Oryzias latipes: one gene and its partner. The protein of the gene in region 1 interacts with the protein of each later gene in a pairwise test. Links are inferred from orthologs where the notes say so. Each region holds a gene or a part of one and is shown in the gene's direction. Other genes may lie near its edges.

Region 1 (3,217 bases):
AGAATATTATATATTGCTCAGTAATAAACAGACTGCAGACACTTTGTCACCTTTCTGGTAGCCATGAAGCCTGACATCCATGAAGAACGCGGGCAGGAGGCTCCGCCTTTGTTCATACAGACACGTAACGTTACGCAAACAAAACATGTAGTGATATTCATGGAAATCTAACGGTGCACGTTCATGTTTGGTGTTACAGAGTGAAGGAGAACAGTAACAACCCCCCCCCCCCAACACAAAATCCTCCGGCGGGCGTCTATGTCGCGCACTCAAGAACGCACCCAGCTTGTAATGGAAATGAATACAATGGAAATTAATGATTAGAACGCAGTAAATTTGTCGTATTTCCTCGCGAGAAGGAAATTTCTGTTGTAGAATGAGGATGTGTGTGCTGCTGAAACCTCATGTGTGTGTGTGTGTGTGTGTGTGTGTGTGTGTGTGTGAGTAGAGTGAGCGCGTGCAGCGTAGAGGGAGTGAAGGAAAACAGAAATGAAAGGTTCCCCCCAGAAACCCTTGAAGTCTGAACACAGGACTAGAAAAAGTAAATTATCAGCAAAGATGAACGTGTTTAATTATAGTTCCAATCATCATATGCAGAACTTTCAGAAAAAAAATAATAAAAACTTTCAAATTAAAAAAAGGTGCTGTGATGAGGTCATCACCGCGGTGATGAGGTTATCGTCACACCCCTACCTGAGACCTTTGTAGACGCCAACAGCAATGCAAACGCAGCAGCTTAGTTTGGTCAGAATGTGGTGAAAAGTCCGTCTTCTGCCTGTCAGGTGAGCTTTCCTGCGGCTCCTGCGTTTGCCTTGTCGTCTGTTTTCCATGTCTTTGTTTGGCTGTCATGCTGTTTCCTGTGTTTCTGCACGTTTTGATGGTTTGTTTCTGTTCTTTCTCCTCCACCGCTTTCCCTCGAACCCTCAGATTTAGAGACCTCAGTGGACAGTCGCTGCACTACGGACAGTGCCGACAGTGCCTTTTTTGGCCGCCGTTATTGATCGCCGGCTTCCCCCTTTCTATCAGTTCCCTCCCCGGGTCGTCCTCTTCGGTCCTGCTTCAGCCCGGAAGTAAGCTTTGTGATCAGACTGCAGGACAAACGGGAGAAAGATGCTTTTCTTTCCCTTCTGTCGTGTTGAAGTTCTGATCCATCCCTTCTGTGAATGTTCTGGCTGAGCTGCACCAACAGAGGTTCTCCTCTGTAGAGAGTCTGTGTTGGGACTGCATGTTGGCACCAGGGGGGCTGCAGCACTAAATGAGCTGCTGAGCTGAGACGGCCGTCCTGCCGTCATGCGGCGTCGGCTCATTCGGGAGCACGACGTGGTTTAAAGAAGCAAAACCAACATTTCGTTTCCGTGAGGCCCTTCTCACCTGTCCTCATTACCGTTTTAGGCTCTCTGTTGGTGTTTATGTCTGCAAGTATTACTGATATTTTATTCAGAGATGGTCTCCAGACGCCTCATTTGTGTTCGTGTGTTGTGTGTTTTTGGGTTTCCTTGTATGTACGACTCTGAAATGAGCCTAATTAAAATCCAAATAAGGTTGGCTCATAATTGAAAGTTAATGGGAAGCAGTTGCATGCGCATAAATGACTCAGAAACCCTTCAAACATGCAGCATTCATATTCTGAGCAGAGTCTCAGGTGTTCATGCAGCTCTGGAACGTCCGCCACAAAAACAGAGTTTATTAGAAGGAGCTGCATTTCCAGAAGAAACAGCAGGGTTGATGCTATACTGCTGAATGAAAATGAAACTTAAAGAATAACATTTGTCAAAAAACAAAAAAAGAGTAAATAAATAAATGATCAAAGTTGATCATAAATAAAGTGAAAACAGCACAATAACAAAAAAATATTTGTGAAAAATGCCAGAGCCGGGTATCGAACCAGCGAGCTTCTGCTCCAAGGATTCCCCTTTATTTCAATGGAGGCAGAAATCCTGGAATATCTGGAAAAGTTCAAGGATTTGAAGGAGCAAAAATCACAGCTGGAAAAAGATGAAATAGCTGAACATTTGAATAGTTGAATGGTTAAAATAGATGAAAAATTGTAGAAAGATACTAGAATAAAGAAAGAGAAGTCTGTGGGAGGAAGTGGAATTAAAAATGATGAAACTCTAGCAAAAATGTTTCTAGATTTCAGCAAAAAGCCGGAGTCCAAAGACCAGATTGTTTGAATGAGGGTAATATTTCCAAATAACGCCTTTTCGCTGCCTTGTTGCTGCTTCCCTGCAGGTTTTCCCTCGGTATCACGGAACAGAGAAGCCTATCAGTCCATCGACCAGCAGGACGAGTCGTCCAGCCCACCAAACCCCTTCAACCAGGCCCAGGACACCACCCGACCAGGAGTCCGCACGTACTGAGCGCCGCCGGACGCCAACCGCGCAGCCTTCTCTCTGACTTTATATGCAGCGACGGGCGACGAATGTGTGCAAAACCCCACAAATCCTTCTGGTGAATAAATACTTGGGGTGAACTCTTCATCTTCCAGTGAATGTCGTGTTTTCAGGAGGAAATCTGAACCTCCTGCTGCTCGTCTGCTGTTACCAACGCGATTCCAGTCAAGCTGTCAAGTAGATTATTTTTTACGTGGCATTTACAGACGGTTACAGACAGTTCTGTGAGTTATAGTCGTACCTTTTTGCAGTATTTTATGACTATTTTGCAGAAACTCTTTGCTTTAACAAACTGAAATAAATGTTTGACCGAAAACTCAGCGTTTGGGGTTTGAATCCTTGGACCAGAACGGAAACACTTCAGTAATGTTGATGCTGCACAAACACATCTGCCGCTCTGCACATCCCAACACAGAAACACTCCATTTCCCAGCGTGCTTAGCGTCTCAGCGAATAACTCATCCGTTTTTCTCAATGGAGCCGTTTGACAACATTTACGGCTTTTATTCTGTGAAACCTGGAGATTCCTGCTTTTCGTTTTGGTTTTTCTTTCTTTTATTATTTTTCAAAACAAATGTTTATATTTTGAGTAAATGATTTGGCTTAGATATTCTTTATTTACTACATTTTTGACATTTCTCTCTTTCCAAAACTCCGACATGACGGCGGTTTTTGATAATGTAACCTTTAAACCTTTATGAAGATCATTTAGGATTTGATCTAGTTTGAATTTAGCAGTTTTTAGGATGTTTGCAGCTCTCATTATTCTGTTGGTTTAAAACATTTTTGACATTTTAAAAAAAATCATATTTTAGCCTTTTTTA
Region 2 (3,041 bases), on another chromosome or scaffold:
TCATGTTTTTGCAAAACTCTGGTTCCACTCCTGAGCTTCCATTTATTTTCCCCCGCCTTAAGTTGTAAACGTGTCTTTTCACAAAAGGAGGAGGGCAGGCGGACGCAAATACAGATGTGAGAGGAAATTGTTTTTTTTTCTTCTTCCTTTTCCATTATTTCCTGTGTTGACATTAGAAATGCTCATCCAGTCCATAGAGAATCAGATGTAGAGTTAAAAAAAATAAACATAAATGTGAACGGTGACCTTGTGTCTTGTCTGTTCAGTCTTGCAGCTTTGCTGCTGTCCTCCATCCTGTGAAACATCTCATTAGAAGTAAAACACGTTTGTTTCTCTACAGGCAGTTGAAGTGTCCCCTAATTGTGGACTAGTGTGGAAGGTAAAACATGGAGAGATGCGTTTTACTCATTTTACTGCATGACTGTGCATGGCAGTTAACTTGCATCCACTTCCAGTCTGCTTTCAACACAAAACTAAAGAGTTTCCTTTGTTTGATAACCTGCATTGTTTTTTCTATTGTCAGTGTTGTTTGATGTTACAATTCAGAAATGCTGCTCTACCCTCTGTGTTGATGAGTGATGCTCTTATAGACCCATTCCAGTGAACGTTCTGGTTTTAACCTGTTTTGTGGTATTTTTCTGAAAACAGAGGACATGTATATGAAGAAAATTAAGCTCAAAATTGCATTTATTAGTATTTCTTTATTCAAAAACATTGTAAGTTAGGAGCAGGCAAAAAGAGCACTGCCTGAATAAGGAATGCATTTGTGACATAGAAAATACGCTGGGGAAAGAGGGCGGGGTTTGCTCCACCCACAACTCGGAGGCAATTTTTTTATGAACTTCTGCCCCTCCACGGAAACTGTGCCATAGAAAACGACACAGGGTTTTTTATTTTGACTAAAAACTGCATAATCATGATTGAAAGACCATCAGAAACATTTTTGACATCAAAAACGGATCGTAGTGGACCTTTATGGGCAAGTTACTCATTTGTGCAGACAAGGGAGCTTTTCTTTTTTTATTCCAATAATTCTCCTAAATCTTGTTTGTGAAGGGATTACCGGTATTACAATAGAACAACAAGAAAAAGCCATTTGCAAAAGATGCTTATAGAGTATTTAGAGAGGATTATATTCCAGGATCTATGGGACCTTACATTCTGCACAGAGCAAAAATCATTGTTTTTTCTTCTTTTGAATAAATGCTTTATATCCTCCTTAACTCAAGGAATGGTTAGTTCCACTGAACACATGACTATCCCTGACCAACAACAGAGACTCGACTTTCTATCAGGCAATTTTGTAGAGCATGTTTTCTGTTCTCTAATGTTCATACAAGTTGATTTTTAAAATCTTGGTATTTTTCATCAGATCCCAGACAGTTCAACTAAAATACTGTATTTACTTCTTAAAGAAATAAACTAAAAAAGATGTTTTTGATTCTGTTAGTTTCATTTCCTTTATGTGTTTCTTGATGAACAACCCTCGGATATCTGTTTATGCTCATCCTGGGTTGTGCGGGGCCTTTACAGTTTTGTGTTACCCGTTTGTGCTCTTGCTCCAACCGCTGTTGCCTTTGCAGGCCTGCTCTGAAGAAACGCTCCGGAGGAGCTGATGAGGAAGTTGGACCCCAGCGGGAAACTCAGCCGCTCGAACGTCTCACGCCGAGCCTCAAACCTCTCGGACGCCGCGGGTAGCTGGGCTCAAACAGCCGTAAACACGATTCGCAAATCCAACTGAACTATAGAAGCACATGTATGTTTCACCTGAGATCTTTCTTAGCCAAGCTTTTAAAGTTTGTCTTGTTAGTGTTACATGTTGGTTTATCATGTTACTGGGAGACTGTTTAGTGGCATTTTATATTCTATTTCATCCAAACTGTTGGATTCGTTTTTTACACTCACCAGATATTACCTAAAGCAGGATAAATATCTTCTCTAGCTACCTAAGGGATTGTTATATTTGATAGTGTGTTTGTCTAGCTGTTACTAAAATGGAATATTTTTGTATTCTTTTGTTACTAATATTGTTATCTTACTTTTTAACATGAGCTGCTGCCCATTATCCATTACCAAACCAGTATCTGCACTTCCAACACTAGATTTACTAACAAAAGCTGTGTCTTTTACTTTATATAAACAATAATGCTACTGACATTTTTTCAAATGTGCATTCAATAAAACCAAATTATTACTTTTATATTCTTTAAGAGTGGGATTTTTGTTTTCCTTGTTCAACTTTTTTTTATTGTTGCAGATAAGGTTGATGATTTTTTTTCCCTTTAAACTGTGAGAAAAATCATGATTTATCAGATTAAAAACTTTAAGTCAGTTTGATGCCTAATGACCCACATTTTTTATTCATTTGTAATCGCTGCAAAAATGGAAAAACTGATCTTCAAATTTCTACAAAACAAAGGTTGTACACCCCTGAGAAACATTTATGTATATATAAATGCTTTTGTTCTTTCGTCAAACGTTCTAACATTTGAATTGATTGCAGTACTAACTGAATAAATCACATAGAATTCAATGAATTTTGCTTTATGTTTTTAATAAAGGTACACATACTCTTTCTTTTCATGCAAGAATAACACTGGAGAATGCTGGAGTATTTTTTTTTCTCAATATAATTGCAATTTATGATGAAGACTTGTGAATAATGTGTGCAAAAGATCTTCATTTGTAGTGTTAAGAATTTACTTAAGAATGGTTTCTTCTTTTTGCAAGCATTTATGGAGCCTAGAACATATTTGTTGTAATTGAGAATTGTTTTGGTATCGTCTAAACTAAATTTGATGAAATGATTTCACCATTTTAGGAATCATTAACTTAAACCTTTAAATTGATGGTTTGATACCTTTTTTCCCGTTATTTTACGCTATGTGAAGAAAGAATCAGTAAAGTAATGCTATATTTATCCAAAGGCTTTCATTCATAAAGACAACAGTTTTATTTATAAATAAATAAAAGAACAAAACATTTTAATAAAAAGAGGAATGGAGAAAAAAATGACTATTAAAACTTGACCAAATCTGTCC

What was found. The genes of interacting proteins can lie anywhere in the genome.
Region 2: the proteins of agtrap (region 1) and uncharacterized protein LOC101171023 interact in binary tests that used the Homo sapiens proteins (3 or more experiments, as listed by UniProt). The two-hybrid records come from large-scale screens. The link is inferred for Oryzias latipes from reciprocal best matches to the Homo sapiens genes AGTRAP and PIMREG.

The regions. Positions count from the first base shown.
Region 1 is NC_019863.2:32,256,436-32,259,652, reverse strand, and holds the end of agtrap (type-1 angiotensin II receptor-associated protein), read left to right. Parts: intron 1-927; exon of another isoform or gene 928-1,070; intron 1,071-2,232; coding exon 2,233-2,360; 3' UTR 2,361-2,713; downstream 2,714-3,217. UniProt on the Homo sapiens protein: Appears to be a negative regulator of type-1 angiotensin II receptor-mediated signaling by regulating receptor internalization as well as mechanism of receptor desensitization such as phosphorylation.
Region 2 is NC_019872.2:12,647,503-12,650,543, reverse strand, and holds the end of uncharacterized protein LOC101171023, read left to right. Parts: intron 1-340; coding exon of another isoform or gene 341-371; exon of another isoform or gene 372-379; intron 380-1,583; coding exon 1,584-1,698; 3' UTR 1,699-2,537; downstream 2,538-3,041. UniProt on the Homo sapiens protein: During mitosis, may play a role in the control of metaphase-to-anaphase transition.